4 linked regions of the Cricetulus griseus genome follow. The protein of the gene in region 1 interacts with the protein of each later gene in a pairwise test. Links are inferred from orthologs where the notes say so. Each region holds a gene or a part of one and is shown on either strand. Other genes may lie near its edges.

Region 1 (4,986 bases):
GAGAAACTGAGCGACTAGCCTACACTTTGAAACATGTCAGGAAACCTAAATTTTAAATCATAAAAGGGATTCATTGAGTCCCTTTAAAATGTGTAACTTTTACTGATTAAAACTTCAACGTCTTAAACATATTTTTAGCTGGATGATCTTTTAACTTCACACACCAAAGCATTACTGCTTCTCTGGAAGACAGAAGTTGCTCACAATTTTCAGGCTTACAAATAAAAATTATCTAAGACCTTTGACCTCATAGATCCTAGGCCACTCTGATTTAAAATGATTTCCAGGCCATGATCTTCTATACTGGCTTGGCGATGAAATCTACACAATTAATAATAGCCTGCTTTGCTCTCAACTGTCTAGAGAGCCGAGGATGGCAGATCTATCCTCATCTCCCCATGTGTTCCATTAGACTGACATATTTTGCCTCATCTGTCACCTTCGATAAAACTCTGCTTTCAGATATGAGTTAATTCATTTTCAGTTGTCCTCGATGTTCTAAAATAGTGATGTTTGACAGAATTAATCCAGTGCTCTAGTTCTCTCTGTTCAACTGATATTTAATTAAAGATCTTGGAGGCCATCTTTTAGGCTACACGTTACAAGGAGGAGCATTACTTCCTCCTTGGACAATGTGCTGCGCCACATGGCAGAGGCTGCCTCCCTAAGGTGTCCTGTTCAACAGACTGCTCTCTTGCATAGCCACCACCAGCAGGACAGATAATCACTCTGTTTCACATGGCCTGATTCTCACATAGTTGAACCCCAATTCAACTACTGTCTACATTCTCTCTGACCTTTTCAGTGTCTAGAATTTTGTAGTGGCAATACTCCTCCCTCTATATTTTTTAATCATTGCTTTTGTTTCCCTAGAACCACAAAAGGTACTGAGAACACTTATTTCGTAATATTTCTTGAATCTCTGAAAACAGAAAATCTTTTAGCAGTCACAGCCACCCCTAAAGCTCACGCTTAGAAGGCTCTGCCTTACATTTCTGAATTAATATCTTTTGGAGGCCAGCCCACTTGAGTTGATATGTCATAATTTTCTATTCTGAAGGTGGCGTGGATAATTTAAATTGGCCCTTGCTGTTTATGACTTAAGTAATTGTTCTTTTGGACAGCCTTTAGGAAGCCTCAACTTCTCAAATCATGTTTGGACCATGCAGCAACCATAAGGGACCTGGGGATGGATGTAAGCAAACTCCAGGAGCCATAAACTAACAAGCAGACTCTAGGTGGTGGTATAGGTTATTTTTTATCACAATGTTTTGCTCTTAAAACTGGAGGACCCAGAGCAGCCCTAGCCTCAGCCACAAACACTTCTCCACTGCTAACTCACAATATTTCCGGATAGCTCAATTAGAAAAGTACAAGTTTAACAAAGTTTGGAAAACACAGGTTCTCAAGCTTCTCATGGGTTTTAAACCTGATGTTCCACGGTCTCAAAGGCAGCACAGGGACTCTCATCTGTGTAAAGGCAGCCACCGAACTAACTGCCCTCCTTATTTACTTCTTACCTGTTTTCCTCAAGCTCCTCCTGTACTTTGCAGGCTAACTTTGCAAAGAAATCTCCCCACCGGAGTACAAAGTGGCCTGGAGTAAGTATCCAGTCCTAGACTAAGCAGTAGTGCCTGCTATGTTACTGCTTCTCCTTTGTCTATAGGAACTAAGTAAGACCAAGCCTAGAAAGTTCCTATTGGTGTTGAAGCCAGGCTCCCTGAGTCAATTAAACCCTATGGTCATTACCAAACTGCTGGGCAAAACCAGGGCAACTAAGTCACTTGGAAGTAAAAGGACATTTCAACACACCCAGGCAGCAGCCACATTTAGGGGCCATGCGCATGAAGCACTGTTTGCTTAAAAAGTAGACTTACTTCACTGTCTCTTAGACAAAGGTGGCAAACTGGTGACTGAACATTGAATAACAGCATCGGGAAGGTGCCGCCCACTTGGTAAAACCTATGATTCACTAATAAGCAGGTTCAATGTAATTCATAACTTTAAAGAATGAATTCCTGAAGCCCCTTGCTTTACAAAACCCAGGAAATACGAAGACTATACATCATTTACGCATGTATAGGTGTGTACACAGACACAGACAGGCAGGCACACCGATCTTGTTTTACTTTGAGACAGTCTCTCTCTTCCTCTAAAACACGGTTTTCCCTCAGTGTCACAATCATTTACATTAGCAGACAAACTCAAGCCTGATGTCACAAAAATGAGTTAAAAGTTCTTGCACCTAAGAACGTAGGGACTTTACCACCAACTAAAATGACACACTAATTTTTAAAAAGTATCTTAACATAAAATTACCTAACGTTCTGTTCTTCGTTTACGACCGCCAGAATCCAATTAAATTACTGACATGATGGAAGGTAGAAACTCCTGGAATGCCTCAGAGATCAACATGTGTCAGGCTCACCGCCTGTCCGCCTTTTAAACACAGTGGATTCCTTTGTTCCTTCAGTCTGAACATCAACTCCTGATTAAAATTTGGAAACTACTTTGGGAAGGATGGGGGTGGGGGTCCGGAGAGTGTTGCCACGGACGAGGGTTTCCTCAAACCGGAGTAAGGAGGAGAGTGGCACAAGAGAGAAGAGCGTCTCCGAGGACTTCAGCAGGCTCACACTAAACGCAAAGCCCGCTCTCGGATGCTGGGGAAAAACTAGGCTGAGGCCTCCGGTGCAAGGAGCCTCGCCCTCCCTCGGCAGGCGGGGACCTGGTGCCCAGCAGGCCGGGCCTGGGGCTCAGCGCTGTCCCTGTCCGAGTCACTTTTCCCTGCCGGGAATCGGCGAGCACCGCGCAGGGAGGCACCAACTAAAGGCGGGGAGCAGCGCGGGCGCCACCGCGGGCACCGCTGGGCGGCAGGACCGAGCGGCGCAGCAGCCAGCGCCCGGGGCTCGGGGCCAACAGGAGCAGCCGAGCGGGCTCGACCCGGGCCCCGCCACCCGGCCACCCGCGTGGGTCCCGGCTCAGCACACCCAGGGAGGCTGCGCCCCTCGCGCCACGGCTGGCACGGACGATCCCACGGCTGGGAACTCTACAACTTGGCGGCCGCGTCGGCGCGGGGGGGGGGGGCGGCCGCGAGTTCCCGGGGAGACCCGGAGCCGGGCGCGGCGGCAAGCTGTCCCCGGGATCCGTGTGGCCGGCGTCCCCCGTGGGCCTCCCCGGCCTCCGCCGCCTCCCCGGGCCGGTCACCCAGGCCGTGCCCGGGTGGCTCGGCGTCCGCTCTGCCAGCTCTGCACCGAGCCCGGGCCGCGATCGCCACTCACCGAGGCCGCCTCGGCTCCGGGCCGCCGATCCGCGTCGCTCCCTCCTTCCCGGGTGAGCCGTGCCCTGCGGCCGCGCGAGGCCACGGGCGGTGCGCACGGGCGGGCTGGGGCCGGCTCGTCCTCCGCCTGCACCGCGATCGCCGTCGCCTCCCGAGTTCGGGGCTCTGCTGCAATGTCTGCGAGGCTGACTTTGAGCGCCTCGCTCGCCGCCCGCCCGCCGCAGCCGCGCTCCTCCCTCCGCCGCCGAGTTCGCGGCGGCCGGGTCCCTCCCCTCGCTGCTCCACGCCATTCAGCTCTTCAGCCAAGTTTCTTAACCCTTTTCTGCCCCTCCCTCCCATTGTCACCCGGGTTGATCGCGTACCCGGCGGCTCGCTGGAGCTGGGGAGCCTATCCGGCTCCTGCAGGCCTCCTCTCCGGTGCTCCGGGTGGGAGACCCGGGGCTGCGCGGCCTTGAAGGTAGAGAGAGGACACAGTTCGACCGGGAAAGGGGGGTGCCTTGCTCTCCGAGCAGGAGCCCTGGCTTTCCGGCCCCGTCCAGCCGCCTGGACAGATTGTCCCTAGGGACCAGGTGATCGTCCATGTCACCCAGGCTTGGGCAAGCGTTGTGAGCACCGCAGAGGAATAAAGACACCCTGACCCTTCCCTGGGGTCTCCACCTAGGGGCTGGCACCTTAAGGGTCTCCCTTCCTCCCATTTCACCCACAGCACGCGTTCTCTTGACTGCCTTTTACCCACCCTAATTTCCACCTCCTAGAAATCTGTGTCCCGCTTAAAATCAGGAAGGACGGCGCTATAACTCTAGGTCATTTTGACCCCATGCCCACAGCACCTAGTAGGACCCAGTAATTAATGTGGCGTGATTCCAAGCGGAAAACTGGGAAGGAGACCTGAGGAGTGCCCAGCTCAGCTCCCTAGACGGACGCAGGACCCAGGAACCGGGTTTATCTTCAGCTGCTTTGTCACTGCGAAGTCTCCAGCAGGGTCTGTCGGGCCATCTGCACCACCCCCAGGAAGGATCTGACCCAACAGGACTAGGAGATGGGCTGTCACCTCTTTAAGCAGCTGTGCTCGGTTCAGAGTCTCAATAAATAACAATTACATCACGAAGCCAGGGTGGCAGTACAGTGAAACCTGGGTTTCCTGCAGCCTTGTCTTGCTGAACCCGCCTCTAAATTTGAGGGGGGCTACAGATTGGTGAAGCGAAAAAGTGGAGGGAGGAGAGAATAATAAGAAACCATGATCTCGCCCTCTCGTGTTTTCCGCTTTAAAATCCTCTCCTCGCGAACATTACTTGTGAAGACTCCTTCTGACGCCCCTCCCCACCCAGATGTCACGTTTCCTTTTCACTTTAGTATCTCTCCATGAAAAGAATTACCAGCGGAAAAAGAGTGGTTGTAAAAGTTGGTTTTATTTGACATAAAAAAAAAAACAAAAAACTGAAGTACATTTTCACTTCACCCTGAACTGTAAAGTGGTATGGCTGCGTTAAAATACTCACTGGATAAGACAAATTTGTGGATGAAGGTATCTACTGTCATGCATTTTTGGTAGCATTTGGAAACAGTTACTGATGCACATAGAAACCAAAGATGACCTAAGTGATCAAACTGTATTCTTTACTGTTATGTAATAGTTATACAGCCGGCTATTTTTCAAATGAGCAAGGTCTAGAGTGCCTTCCCAATCTTGAAAGCGAAAGCAGTTTTTC
Region 2 (4,872 bases), on another chromosome or scaffold:
TTTAATGAAGCAACTAAATTAGGCATAACTTACTGCAGCTTTAATGTAGTTATGATGAATATATTTTACTTGATTAAAACTGATAAAACCAGGGAGCCTTAAATATTATCTTAAAAGATTAACTACTGTGTCAATTAAAAATCTAGGAGAAAGGTGTTTGTGAGGAATAGCTATCCTGAATAATACCTTCCTTTTGTTCGTTTCATTTAATTAATGACTCAATCAACTTTTCCTGTTTCCACAAAATGTTCCTAAATTACACATGGGCTTGCAAATGGAAAGGCACACAGAAGTGTATTAGCTGAACACTGGTGAAGAGTCAAGAAGTGATTCATTTCTTATTGGAGGGGCAGGTAGTTGACAGTGTATACAGAGGACTGAACACCAGCCATTCTACAACATATTTTGTATTACAGAAAGTAGAATGAATAAATACTGGCAAAAAAAAAATCAAGTTGTTCCCAATGGGTGTGCTATTGAGTCCCGTTTCTATGCTTTCTAACTGAACAATCAAGCAAACTTTTGCACTTCCAGTCTTGCTATGACCGATTAAGCAAATTATTAAAGCAGTCCCTAACTACACAGAAGAAAATTATGATGCCATGCATCGATACAATGTGTTTGCTTCATCGACAAAGAAGGAAACTATGCAAAGAAACACTTTTGGTAAGTGTGATTCATTTTTTTTTCAGACTGCAAGTAAACTGTCATAGGTGACAAATTTTATCTAAGGAATGCAAGTAGCACGACGATTGTTTTAGTGTCAAGCTCCCCTAAATGGGTGTCTCTGAAGAGCAACCAGCCACGTGTCTTGCTCTTTAAACCTTCACCAACTGAATAGAATCCACACTGTCTTGCCTTCTATTCTAGTCTAGCCTCTTTGCCAAGTGACCTATCACTGAGGTGACCGAAAAGCCAAATGAGCCTGTCCTTAAGTCCTGCAACCAGGGGTCAGAGGATTTCCAAATGCTGAAGAAGTCCATGTCCTTGACAAAGGAACCTGAAACTAAGGAGAAGGGTGGGGTGGGGGGAGAGTGAAGTAGTAAAGGAGAGAGAAGGGAGGGAAAGGAGGGAAGGAAGGACCAGAGACTAGCCAATTAGAGTGAAGAGAGGGGAACATTGGAACAGTCTCTAAAAGAAGCTGCCTGGAGCTAGAGGGGTGTGGTTTTGTAGTCTACCTCTAAAGGCTGAAGCGTCCTGCCACAGTAAAGCCCTGCCAGAGGAGCGGACGTTATGGGACTCTTCAAAGCGCTTCTGTAAATACGAAACTCTCCAAGGGCTGTGTGAGAGAGGGACTGTGTGAGAGAGGGCTGTGTGCAGCCCGGCGGGTCCCGTGGGCTCCTGCTTCCAAAGAACTACCCAGTGTCCCTTTCTAACTACTGGAGTCAGAAGTGCACGTCCCTCACAGATCTGCCTCACTCCCAGGCACGCTACACTCGGCCCAGATCCGACCCCAGATAGGACCATCTCTAATTCCCAGTCTGAGTCCCCGCAGCCTAGGACACCGGAGTCCGCGGCCCCGCCCCCTGTCCTCAAGCGCGTCCCCTCCCCCGCCTTCCCAGCCTTTCCACGCGCTGCGGGGCGCTGATTGGCCGTGGCGCTGACAGGAGGCGGGGCCAGGAAGTACGGCCAAACCCGCCCTCGCGTATAAGCCTCTTCTGCGCTCGCTCTCTCCACCTCTCTCCTCTTTCTCTCTCGCTCCCTTCCTCTCTGCAACTGAACAGTGAAAATTCACATTGTGGATCCGCTAACAGGCACAGATGTCATGTGAAAACGCACATGCTCTGCCATCCACACCGCATTTCTTTCTTTTCTGTTTCCTTTTTTCCCCCCTTGATCGTTCTCCCTCTTCTTTGTAACTAACAAAACCACCACCAACTCCTCCTCCTGCGGCTGCCCTTCTCCTCCTCCTCAGTCCAAGTGATCACAAAAGAAATCTCCGAGCCCGAGGCGGTGGCATTTTTTTTTTAAGCAAGCACATTGGAGAGAAAGAAAAAAGAAACAAACAAACAAACAAAAGCAAAACAAAACCCAGGCACCAGCCAGCCAGGACATTTTTTTCCACCCTGCCTGAAAACAAACAAACAGCCATCAAAAACAGTCATCAGCAACAACAGTCATCAAAACTGTTAGCTTAGCGGCGGCGGCCACCGTCACGCTGTGGCCACGACGTCTGCCTGAAGGGATGCTTCTCTCGGCGGAGCAGCTCTTCTCAGACCGCCGTCTTCCCTCGTGCTGAGCGGGATTTTTGGGTTCTCTGGGGTTCGGGCTGGGAGCTTCATGACTACGCGGAGCAGGACAGCGGCCACACCATGCGAGGTAAGCGAGCCCACGGGCACCCAGGGTCCCCGAGGCCAGCCAACTCCAGCCAGACCCGGAGCTGGGGAGGGGGGAGGGGAGCGCTCTCGGCCCAAGGGAAGAGAGGTTTGCTGTGAGCAGCTCCCCTAGTTCGGTTCGCAGGTGGGACTGCAAATGGCCTGGGCTTGGAAAGTTGTGGGAATGTGTGGAAGGCTCGGGACTTCGGCAGGACGCGGGAGGGCGCTTTTTGGAGACCGGGACAGCGATAGTCGCTTCTCTCAGTTCTGGACTTGCTCTCATCTTTTCTGCGCGTCACTCTCGGGTGCGCCACAGGACACGGGATAGAGGAGAACAGGAAGCAGGATGACTGGGTAGAGGCAGCTGGAAGCCCGGGTCACGTTGTAGTCGCTGGCCGGAGGTGAACACTGGGCCAAACTGCCAGACTCAGGAGCATCCCAGTCTACAAGCGCGTACCTTCTCAGGAATAGTAAACATGGGATGCTCCCGGAAACTGGACGCAAAAGCCTATGGCAGGACCTTCCCGGGTTCCCCTTTTCCCTTTGCTCTTCGCTCTGGCTGGGTCCCTTCCCAAAAAAAGAGTTGCTAGGAGAAAGAAAGTTCAGGAGACTTAAGGCTATGTCTGAGATAAAGAACCGTAGTGGGAGCTAGTGCTAAGTGCACCTTCTGTCCAGGGCCCCTGCCACCAGCAGCGGTGCCACCTCAGGGCAAACGATGCTGCCCAAGTGGCCCGCGGGGATGACAGAGAGGTGTCCCCTGCATAGCTGAATAGGTGGGCTTCAGGAGTCAGTTTGTAGATCTCCTCTCCTGTGGCACAAGTTGCTTGCACTCTGTCCGGGACTCCTCCTCTCTCGCTTTACAGTGGGACACAACTTCCCTCTCTTCTTAAAGAAGCCACTGGATGCCCTCCTGACTTGGGACATCTGAACATGTCGGGACACTCAGCCCCAACATCCGAGCGTCCCTTCCTTGGTGCATTGCGTTCCTATGGGGGCTTTTCTCTCGGATTCACAAGTCCCTCCAGATCATAAAAACAGAAATAGGCGACAGTCGAGTCTCCGAACCCTTCTGCCTCCTGGATAGAAGTGCTTTCAGCAGGACACATTTCGAATAGGGCCCACAAATACCAATCTTCAACCACCCTGCTTCCTGCTCCCATGCACTAACCCTACTCCCTTTAAGGGGGAGTGGGCACGACCCTCACCCTGATCATCCTCGAAGAACTCTAGTCCTGGCTTGACCTCAATGGCATACAGATGCTGGGGCCACCGCCTTGGAGCCTGGGCTCTGTAGGACAAGGCAGGAGGAAAGCGATGGAAAAAAAGTTGCCCATTACCCATGGGTATAGGACTCCAGATAAGTGACAAAGGTGTCTTGGTGAGTGTCTTGATTGACACTGAAAGTTAGGATCACAGTGTGTTTGTGAGCAGTGACAAGAGCTGATTGTCCCAGTCACGGGATGGTCACATGCTCCACTATCCAAATTCTTTCAAGAAATTGTACTACAGGAATTGGTGGCGAGAGCTCCTTTACTTAGTGAGAAACTGGGTTTTTGTTTATCGTTTTCTGCCCCACCTCACCATCTCACACTCTTTCCTTTCGGTTTCCTTCGCTCCCAATTGAAACTGCCAACTAGGGGGTTGGCTTTTTCTTCCGCTCCAACAATCCCCCTCCCCCATGGCTAGGTTCAAGCTACCTGAGGGTCAGAAACCAAGTGCCACTGCAGTTGGTCCCCTGAACTAATCCTGTAGCCAAGCTACAAACCCCTTAAGCCTCAGAGAGGCGGAGCAGAGCGCGGCTTCCTTGCGCTTACCTTGACCTGCTGCTTCTGCTGCTGCTCCCATAGGAGACCCCTGGCTTGAAGGATTTAAGGCAAGGGCTAGTCCCCAGTGTGAACCGACAGACACCTTTGTCTTAGAGAAGATCAGGGTGACCAAGCTGCCCAGGACAGTTCACTAGGTTTAATCCAAGAAGACTCCCCTGAGGCAGCCTGAAGGGAAGTTGGTAAAGAAAAAGTCTGGGTCTCTCTGATCTCTTACTGTCCCATCCCACCTTCGGCTGCTTGCTCATTAAAGATGAAATAAGAAGCCTTTTGGAGGTTTAATGCCCAATATTCCCCCTGGGGGTGGAGGGAGTGTAGAATGAGACTATCCAGAAGTCTTCTAATAGTTGAACTTGAGTGCCAATTAAGACTCGAGACAGAAGAATCAAATCATCTTTCCCTTGCACAAGGCTGCTAAGCAGACCATTGGAACAGACTCTGCTGGGGGAGGAGCTGCCGTGAAACTTGGCTTTGCCCTTCGCCTGTGAGCATGCTATCGACTCCTTACACCATGCTTGCCCCCACCACACACACTGTCTCCCTTCTCAAATGGTCCTTTCAGAGCTTTGACTTCAAGGTTTGCTTCTGGCAATGGCAACTGTCCTGAGTCAGGTCAATTTGCCAGACACAAACAGTGTCTAGGATGGAGCAGTCTCCCTGTGGGTCAATCAGCAACCTACCCCCAGATCAGACTACACAGTAGTGCCTCTGCTTGGGACATTTGAGAGACTATT
Region 3 (4,949 bases), on another chromosome or scaffold:
CCATGACTTCTGGAAACTTGAGGAATCTGATTACGGTAGTGGCACTGTATGGAGAACTTTTGAGGCCAGGACATGGAGGGTTCAGGAAGGACCTACTAAACCAGCCAGGGAAGGGCTGGAGATGCTCCCTGGGAGTCTATCTCAGGCACATCACAACTGGAGTCATAGCAGGAAAAGGAAGGTGTCCTAAGCAAAGCAACAAGATGAGCCAATTATTATTATAATTGTGTACATGCACACATGAGCACATGTGTGAGCACACCATACACATATGGCAGTCAATGGATAACTTTCCATAGTCTCTTCTACCATAGGTTCCAGAGGTCAGACATAGGTCCCCAGGCTTATAAGGCAAGTAAGCTAGTTGGCTGGACCAAGCTGGTCATTTTTGTTTTGTTTTGTTTTCCAAGACAGGGTTTCTCTGTGTAGCTTTGGAGCCTATTCTGGCACTCGATTTGGAGACCAGGCTGGCCTCGAACTCAAGAGATCCTCATGCCTCTGCCTCCTGATTGCTGAGATTAAAGGCCGTGTGCCATCGTGTGCCATCAATGCCTGGCCAAGCTGGTCATTTTTAAATATCCTTAATTGAACAATTATTTTGGTACAGAGCCAGGCTCTTTGCATAGAAATTTCAGACAGGCATTGTGGTTCATAATTTTAATTCCAGTACCAAGGAGGCAAAGGCAAGTGGATCTTGAAGGGTTCAAAGATAGCCTGGTTTACACAGGGAGTTCCAGCCAGGCTAGCTAGGACTTCACAGTGAGACCCTATCTCAAAATAATAGTAGTAATATTATGATTATTATCTATAGCAATCTGGGCAAGGTAATGCATGCCTATAATCTCAGTGCTCAGAAGGTAGGGAAAGGATTGAAGCAAGTTCAAGGCCAGTCAAGGCTACATAGCAAAACCTAGTAAAATCCCCATATCAGAAAAAAAGAAGTGGTGGGTTAGCTCAGTCAGTAAAGTGCCTGCCTGCCATTAAACATTCAATCCCCCAAACTGCTATTTTTAAAGAGGGGAGTGGGCTAGAGAGATGACTCAGTGACTAAGAGCCTGTACTGCTCTTATAGAGGACCCCAGTTCCTAGCACCCATGATGGGCAGCTCACAACTACCTGTAACTCCAGCACCAGAGGGTCCAACACCTTGTGTACTCCACAGGCACTGGCACTTACATACGTACATACCCACACACAAACAATTACACATCATCATCAAAATAAACCCAGGGTGTGGTCACATGTGCAGAGACAGGGTAAAGTAGGAAGAGGGTAGAATGGATGGAGGACTGAACCTTGAGCTCTGGAAGGTTGAGAATCTGCTCGAATGACACTCGGGTGTGCAGCGACTCCTCCACGCTCCGATGCTCTGGGGGAAGCAACTCACAAAACCGCCTGTGAGCTCTGGCAGAGAGAGGGGGACTTACTGGTGCCTTCAGTCAGTCAGACTCCCTGTTTCCTACATTCCCAGTCTGCATTTTGAATGCCATATAAACCAGGTGTATAACTAAGTCACATAACCAGGACTTCCAGTCACTGGACAAACTTCAGCCAAAGAGAGGTAAGTTACAAAGTAGCAGAGGCTTGGAGTCCCTTCTTAGGGTGGGTATTTATGGAGGAGAGGAAGTATGTGTGTCTGCAGACACTGTCAGGCACTGTTCTGGCAGGAAAAGGATATTCTAGAGATAGTTGTACCCTGCCCTTTGGCTATCAGACTATAGAATCAGTGGTCCCCAAGATTCCCCAGTAATCTCATATTGTGAGAAGGATGAAGTCTGGTGTCAGCCAAGGAGGAAATGTCTACCAGAAAGAGATTTCACACAGTTCCAATAACTTGTCAGGTCACCTTTCATAAGAGAATGGAGCTGAGACAATGATGGAGACACCACATCTTGACCAGACTGCTTAGTTACACATAGCTCCTGCCCTGTGTTTAAATATAAACCTCACATCAGCTGGGCATGAAAATTGACTTGAGGGAGGGGGCCTGTCACTGGACCTCTTTGATACTTTTCCCTGTGTGGCCACACTGGATATATTTCGTTTCTCTGCATTTGAATATTTTCCCCTTAATTGGCCTACTGAGGGTAGGTAGCCAGACTAGCTAGTTAGGATTTCCTGTGGACCAAGTTCCTGGACCCTAACAATTACAGTAACAGTTTCAAAGATTCCTAAAGAGAGGTTAGGGAAGGAGCTGTAAGTGACCCTGAACAATGAGTGGCGGGGGTGGGGGTGGGGGGTGGGCGCGGCAAAAACACGATGTCATTTCAACTCCAGGAAATTCAACCCCTTCTCTCACCTACCACCTCTTTCCCAGTGGAATTTCATTGAGGAGACTAGGAACCTCCCTAGGTCAAGCATCCTGGCCATCAAATCACTTAAGTGTGCTTTATAAGCAAGTTACCAGAACCCTCTAAGCTGTTTCCTTGTTCTGTAATCTCCTCCTGAAGATTTAAGTAATGTGGGAATCACACAGTAGTTCCTGAGCAGAATAAGGCTCAGTAAACGTTAACGGTTACTGCATTAAACAGGTAAAGTTGGAAGAGCGAGCCAGGCGCCTCAAGGCTTCTAGTTTTTGCCAGAGGGCAAAGTCCGTATAGAGCCACAGCTGTTCCCGAAGATAGCAGGAAGCTCTGCAGTGAGGAGGCCAGAGGGGCTTAAACAGCCCAGCTTTTCCTGAATACACGGAGGTGTATGCGTGATGCAAAGCGGAGGCCCAAGCACAGGCGAAACTTGCACTCCGGGCCTCTGGTTCCAGATCCGCTGATCTTGATTTCTGTGAAACCCGACCCCATCCTCAAAGGAGAGGTGGCCAGTCCGTCCCCCACTAGGACAGCACCCCCAAAGGCCACCCCCCCGCAATCCCGCGGTGGAGGGCGGGGGACGGGGGTTGGGACAGCACTTACAGGAGGATCTCCTGCTTGGTCAGAAACGTCAGATCCTGAAAGACAAATCCAGACAAGGGTCGGCGAGCCGCCCAAAATCCACGGCCTCCCCGCCGCCGGCTTCCGAACCCCACTACCCGGCGCGGGCCCGCACGCGAGTTCCGCGAGAACTGGAGCCCCGCGCACCTGGTACTCGGCCAGCAGCTCCTTGGACAGGCGACTGCCCGAGCCTCCCATCGCTGCGATGCGCGCACAGCTCCGCCAACTCTCCCCGGGACTCCGGCAACTTTCTCACTTCCGTCCTCGGGGCCGCGTCCCCGCCCCGTTCCCACAGCAACCGCTGCCGGGCCTCCGCCCCCGGGCCCGCCCCTGCGTACAGTGCCCTGGCACCCTTGGCAAGGTTCAGCCAGCCGGCTCCCGGCTCCCCGCGGGCCCAGGCGAGCTGGAGGCAGGGCCCGGGGAGGAGCCGGACGCGCAGGGGCGGGGCCCAGGCCGCACGGCCCCGCCTCCAGAGGGGCGTGGCTAGTCGCGCCGCGCGCACGTGGTGCAGACTGCGCCTGCGTCGGGGGACACCACGCTCCTCCCTGTGTTCCAGGATGCGTCTGCTTGTGGAGTCTTGAGATGTATCCGCCTCACCTAGAGCAGGTGCTGGAGACCTCAGTCCTGGGTAGGGGCAGTTAACCTCCAGACTCACTCCGGGACTGGAGGAGATCCGGTGCCCCTCGGCCGAGAGGGACAGTCCCAGACCGTCTTACTGGACACGAGCTGCAGCCACGCCACCTTGCCGACTCTTCCAGAAGTAGCTTAGCTTGCTGCCTCTTGAAGCTGTTTACTGAGCACTCACTGGATTTGTGCAGTTATCGTCCATTCGTGGAACAGTTGACAAGGTAGGCTTCCGTTTTACCTAAGTCCAGTTTTAGTGATGTGTCAGGACTCGGGCGTTTAGAGGTCGGTCCTGTCCACAGATCCCTACTGCTGTTTTATCGTGACAGCTGACTTGCCTCCTTTGACCCCTTCCACAAAATGCAAGCTTCCAGCTGTAGAGACTAAGGTTGGTCTGCTTATTTGCTCTTTTCTCCGCTTAACCTCCAGGACATCCAAGTAATTATCAGATGCATGTGCGAATGAACAAATTTACACTACGTGAAAAAGCGAGGATTCCAAGCTGCTGGGAGGAGGAAGGAAAGGTGCATTCTGTGACAGTTAATGTTGGTGGTCTAGATTTTTTGAATTGGGAATGTGCACAGTGCCTTCGAGTGGTAGCCTGTACAAAAGGGAAACGGAAGAAGGAAACTGCTTTTGGCCTGTTTGCCTTCGCTTGCTGATAAGTACGTCTATCCTGTTACTGCCACCACGGAATTCCTTTGCTAACTTTAGAATCAGCCTCTTCCAGCTACCAGCTCAAACTAAAGGCCAGCAGCTCTTCAGCAACTCTCCAGGCCTTCAGCACCAGATTGGAATTGCCTAGACACCCATCCTTGTGGACTAAGCAACTAGCATTGTTTGTCTGCCCAGACCATGTTGAGTAAACCAATCTAATAACTCCCCGTTTAATGTATATTCACCAGTTCTGTTCCTGTAGAGCACTGGTTCTCAGTCTTCCTAATGCTTTGACTCTTTAATACAGTTCCTCATGCTGTGACCCTCATCTTGAAAATTATTTTTGTTGCTACTTGATAACTGTAATTTTGCTACTGTTATGTGTTGTAATGCTAATATCTATGTTTTCCAATGGTCTTAAGAGACCCTTGTGAAAGGGTCATTCAACACCCAAGGGGTCAAGACCTGCAGGTTGAGAACCACTGCTCTAGAGTAACCTAATATAGATTCATTCCCCCACACACACCCAGAAACTATGATATATAAGCAAAAGACCAATAATTTTTTTAAAAGCTCAAACAAAGCATTATGAGACAAAAAAGGAAATATCCCAAAATACTATTGAGTTGGTTTTGAATTGGCCATCAAGTGTTGGACATGAGCCCGCCCTGGAGTATGGTTTGTATCCCCAGTATCCATTATACAGATTCATTCTTTTTGTTTGTTTGTTTGTTTTTCGAGACA
Region 4 (4,930 bases), on another chromosome or scaffold:
CGGGCTGCTAGAAGCCTGTCTGCTGCGTGTGTGTGAACAAAATGCCACCTCCCGAGTGCCGTATCCTGGGCCTGCAGATGTGGATAACTTCGACAGGCTACCTCCATTCTTCCTCCACCTGTCTGTCCATCCTCCTCCCCGACCACAAGCATCCTATTCCAACTCACACTCACCAGAAAGAGTTTCCTGGACAAGAAAAATGCATATAAATTCATTTCTCTTCTTCCTCCTTTTTTTTTCCTCTAAGACACAATCTCATGTAGCCCAAGCTGGCCTGAAAATTGTTATGCAGCCTAAACTCCCTGGTCTTCCTGCTTCTATATTCTGAGTTCTAGGATTATAGGCAAGCACCACCATGCCTGATTCATGCAATGCTGTGGATGGAGGCCAGGGCTGTGCACATGCCAGGCAAGCTCTCTGCCAACTGAGCCACATCCCTGGACCATTAGGTACACATTTTTTAGCACCAAGCATTCTTGCTGTTTCTGTTTAGCAGTTACTACCTTCACATGTATCTTTTCCAAAGCAAAATAGTAAGGTCCCCAATCAATTTTAAGTTAGGAACAAAGAAACTTACTCTAAAATAACCATAAAACTGACCGCTAATAATTGACTTACATGAAACTCTTTAAAACTATATGTGTATCTTCCAAAATGAGAGACAGCTAATCCCTCTCTATCATAACCCTCAGGGTGGTATTTTTTTTAAGCTTAAATTCAACTGTCTGTAAACAAGACTGCAATAAGCATAATTTTTCAAATGTCTATCACAATGTACTAAACACTGAATTATGAGACCTAATACCCACGCATTCAGTTTTCAAGGGCTTTGCATACAATCAACAAAAAATTACCAGCAAGTGATTGATGTTTACTCCTCAGAATTTTATGTAATCATTTCCTAATATATTCCATAAAATGACTAGAAACATCAACTAAAATTTTATCATGAAATAAATTTTAAGGTATGGCCTGTTGAATTACAGTGACTTAGTCTTCACAAAGGGCATAACGCCCATTAAAGGCAAATTATATATTTGATAGGTTGAACTGAGTACCGAGTTTTACCTTTGTATATTAAAAATCCATTCTGAGGAATGTCAACTCTGACTCGAACCATTTGGCTTCCTAAACCCTCCTTGAAATGGCCCTACATGTGTTTTTTGTTTATTTCAAACACTTAGATATCTTGAGCAAGACTAAAAGTGTTCCTTTTAACACTGGTTTTGAAATAAGAATTTCAGATTCCTCCAGAAAACCACCGAACATAAAATGGAATGCTAAAGTTTCTGCTTTAACACTTAGTGACCTTTTACTTTGTTCAGACAGAACGTCTGTTAGAGCAGTGGTTCTCAACCTTCCTAACGCTGTGACCCTGTAACATAGTTCCTCATGTTGTGGGGACCCCAACCATAAAATTATTTTTGTTGCTACTTAGTGACTGCAATTTTGCTACAGTTATGAATCGTAATGTAAATATTTTTGGAGATAAAGGTATGTCATGGGGTGTGAGCCACTCTACAGGCTTTCTTGGAGAAGAAAGTGAGTTAAGCATTTATCACACTCTTTTCATTGTCCCCATATAGCTGCCGTCTAATCTTCCCATTCACTTTTTAAATAACATTTACAGGGAAAGAGAGGAAATATCACCATGAGTGGAATCATTACAGCAGAAACAAAACTTCAAGTGGAAACACTTGAAATAGAACAAAACAAAACTCCTTCCTCTGGAGTGCTGCTTGCTGCGCAAAACACACCTGCCTTCTAAAACGTAAGAATTACCAACAAGCTTCCTTTCTGAACAGAGCTCCACTCAAATTCAAAGTTTTGTTTCTCACACACAAAAACAATATTCACTTGACCCAATTTTCTGCTTCCACTGTGAAACAGTTATCACAGGTAATCGTGAAGAAGCAACAGTTAGATTCCTCTCCAGCAAATAAGAGAGATCAGATTTAACGTATCTGAGACTACCCAGAAAGAAAAGATAAATCTATTTCTGACATGACTAAGGACTACCATGACCAAGCCGTGATCACCGGCCTGAAATAGGCACATCTTCCCTGGTCCACGATACTCAGGCAAAAAGCTTCATCATTTCATCCACCACCAGGAATCCACGGAAGAAAACCACGGGAATTTTCTTTTTTTTTTTCCAAAAAAAAAAAAAAAACAGTTATATTCACACAACCAACCCAAAAGTCAGCAAAATTTCTGTTTCCAGTGGTGTCCAAGCAGTTGCATCCATCCTTCTGCCCCTTTATTGTTCTAAATATTGCTGGCTTCCCATTGCAGGAATCCACACAAAGTCAATGAAACCACACTCTGAGCCAAAGGGCACTTACCTGGCATTCTCTAAAAGCAGACACGTGCTTTCCTTGGTCCCCACGCAGAACTCACAGCAGCCGTTCAGCCCAGCTGGAACTGCCAGACTCTACTCAGACCGGGTGCCAAGGATGCCAGTCGCAGCACAAGCAGCTCCCTCCCGGCCAGGCTCCCCTCGCCCGCCCCCCTCTACTCCCGGGAAGTTTCAAGGGGTGGTTCTAGAAGCCTAGCAAGAGACAGGGACCTGGGAGTTGGTTTCAAAAAGGCCAGCAGCTGGAGAGGCTGCAAAGATTACCCGCGACTAACGGCGTTAGTGAGTCTTCCTTTTAAAGACGGTGAAGAGGGGGTGGGTGGTTAGCTGAAGAGCCCACGTGACCGCGAACCCGGAGCTGGAGATCTCCGGCACTCCGGCGCTGCGCCTCCACATCCACTGGATGTCCACTTCCAGCCATCTCACAGCCACCCACTAGGGACGCCCCCTCCCTGCCCAAGAGACTGACAATGGAGGACCGAGAGAATGGGCATTTCTGACCAGGTCCCCAGGGATTCTGAAGTTGACAGTGCGGGTCCACACTTGATCCTGTCTCCAGTCTTTGACCCAAGCGGATGTCATTAAACGCTTAAGTCTGACAACTATCCTTGAGAAGCGTGGACCAGGCCCTGGGTTCGGGTAATAGCATCGAAAGGGGCAGTAATAACGGAGTCATGAAGCCAGATAGGTCCCTTGCAGGGAGCGTTAGCTTGATCCCCAGAAAGGCAAAGCCACCGGCTGAAGGTGGAAGCGTGGATACTCATCTCTCAGAGTCTGACGGCGGGGGTGAGGAGAGAGAATGAAGGGGAAAAAAGTCTTGGATTAGGTCCAGGATCTCGGGTGCCTCCTGGAATTCACCTGGAGAAAAGCCCCTTACGCTTTTATAGGGCTCCTCCCACCGTGGCGGCGAGGGTCTCTGGCGCCCCCTGACGGCAGCCCTGATTCTCCCAGCTCTGAAGGTTGTCAACCTTCCCCATTCATCTGGAAGTGGTCCTACTATGCAAAGATTGCGATCATATCTTAGTCTCTGAGAAATAATTGACTGTAAGGCAGCCACTGATGGGAAAAGGTAAAAGGAAACCAAATGACCTGTAGGCTAACGAGGTGTCACATGTGTACCTAATCAGTCATCAAACCATCCACACACTGCGCGGGGGACATGTTTATGAAGGGTTTTAAAGATCTACCTTTTAATCTTTTTAATTATGTGCACGTGGGCATGAGCTCATGCGAGCAGATCCCACAGAGACTATAGGTGTAGGATTCCCTGGAGATGGAGTTATAGGAGGGTGTGAGCCCTGGGGCATGGGTGCTGACAACAGAATTAGACTTTTTTTTTTTTTTTAATGGTTTTCCAAGACAGGGTTTCTCTGTGTAACAGTCCTGGCTTTCCTGGAATTCACTTTGTAGACCAGGCTGACCTAAAACTCACTGAGATCTGCCTGCCTCTACCTCCCAAGTGCTGGGATTTAAGGGTGTGCCTCCACCACCTAGCCAGATTTAGGCTTCTTTTCAAGAGGACTATGCTATCTCAACAGCTGGGGTGTCTCTCCAGACTCAGGACAAGGTTCTTGGTGGGTGGTGGTCTAACAGAGGGAGACCAAGGGGATATTTTGAGGGAAACTTGTACAATGCCAACCTCGACTGTTTGGATGTAACCAACATGTTACACACCCACAATGTATTATTACATACGAACAACAATGTGTTCTTAATTTTAAAAATCACCTGGAATGGAACATCAGTGAAGCACTGTCAATCAAGAGCCAAGAGGCAGGTAAAGGTGGAGTGGGGATAAAGAAAGCATCTATGGAGTATGTATAGCAAGCCAGACTGCACAGCAGCTCATTTAATGTTTATACCAGTTCTGAGAGGCAGGTAATACTGGCCCCACCTTCCCGACAAGGACTGGAGGCTCACAGAGCTTACATCCACAATATGAAGCTACAAGATAAGAATGTACCCAGTGAGGTTGGAGAGGTGGCTCAGAGGTTAAGAGCACTGGCTGCTCTTTCAGAGGTCCTGAGTTCAATTCCCAGCAACCACATGGTGGCTCATGACCATCTGTAATAAGATCTTGTACCCTCTTCTGGCCTGCAGGGATACATGCAGGCAGAATTCTACGTACATAATAAATGAATAAATCTTTAAAAAAGACATAAAAAAAGAACACACCCAGTAGCAACAGTGGTTTTTATACACAGAGATCGCTTACTGGCCATTTAACTACGTGCTACTTTCGGGTGTGTGTGTTTTAACTAGATTTCCATTGCTATGATAAACACCAATACCAAAAGCAACTTAGGGAGGAAAAAGTTTATTTCAGTTTACAGTTATAGTCCATAAAGAGAGGAAGTCAAGTCAGGTCAGGAGCTGATGCAGAGGCCATGGAGGGGTGCTGCTTACAGGCTTGCTCCTTTTAGCTTGCTCCAGGATGCTTTCTTATACAACCCAGTACCACCTGTCCTACAATGGGCTGGGCCCTCCCACATCAACCTCTAGCCATGGAAATAGCCCACAGGCTTACCTACAGCCCAATTTTTTTTTTTTTTTGAGACAGAGTTTCTCTGTGTA

Evidence for each region. The genes of interacting proteins can lie anywhere in the genome.
Region 2: the proteins of Nrip1 (region 1) and Rorb interact in a two-hybrid assay, tested with the Homo sapiens proteins (2 studies listed by BioGRID). The link is inferred for Cricetulus griseus from reciprocal best matches to the Homo sapiens genes NRIP1 and RORB.
Region 3: the proteins of Nrip1 (region 1) and Cib1 interact in a two-hybrid assay, tested with the Homo sapiens proteins (2 studies listed by BioGRID and IntAct). The link is inferred for Cricetulus griseus from reciprocal best matches to the Homo sapiens genes NRIP1 and CIB1.
Region 4: the proteins of Nrip1 (region 1) and Esr2 interact in a two-hybrid assay, tested with the Homo sapiens proteins (2 studies listed by BioGRID, with this or other methods). The link is inferred for Cricetulus griseus from reciprocal best matches to the Homo sapiens genes NRIP1 and ESR2.

The regions. Positions count from the first base shown.
Region 1 is NC_048597.1:18,833,850-18,838,835, reverse strand, and holds the start of Nrip1 (nuclear receptor-interacting protein 1), read right to left. Parts: upstream 3,409-4,986; 5' UTR 3,279-3,408; intron 2,925-3,278; exon of another isoform or gene 2,320-2,924; intron 1-2,319. UniProt on the Homo sapiens protein: Modulates transcriptional activation by steroid receptors such as NR3C1, NR3C2 and ESR1. Also modulates transcriptional repression by nuclear hormone receptors.
Region 2 is NC_048596.1:42,062,129-42,067,000, forward strand, and holds the start of Rorb (nuclear receptor ROR-beta), read left to right. Parts: upstream 1-1,644; 5' UTR 1,645-2,312; coding exon 2,313-2,319; intron 2,320-4,872. UniProt on the Homo sapiens protein: Nuclear receptor that binds DNA as a monomer to ROR response elements (RORE) containing a single core motif half-site 5'-AGGTCA-3' preceded by a short A-T-rich sequence.
Region 3 is NC_048596.1:117,372,382-117,377,330, reverse strand, and holds the start of Cib1 (calcium and integrin-binding protein 1), read right to left. Parts: upstream 3,229-4,949; 5' UTR 3,123-3,228; coding exon 3,072-3,122; intron 2,942-3,071; coding exon 2,907-2,941; intron 1,405-2,906; coding exon 1,296-1,404; intron 1-1,295. UniProt on the Homo sapiens protein: Calcium-binding protein that plays a role in the regulation of numerous cellular processes, such as cell differentiation, cell division, cell proliferation, cell migration, thrombosis, angiogenesis, cardiac hypertrophy and apoptosis.
Region 4 is NC_048598.1:127,301,927-127,306,856, reverse strand, and holds the start of Esr2 (estrogen receptor beta), read right to left. Parts: upstream 3,229-4,930; 5' UTR 2,621-3,228; exon of another isoform or gene 2,425-2,620; 5' UTR 2,346-2,424; intron 1-2,345.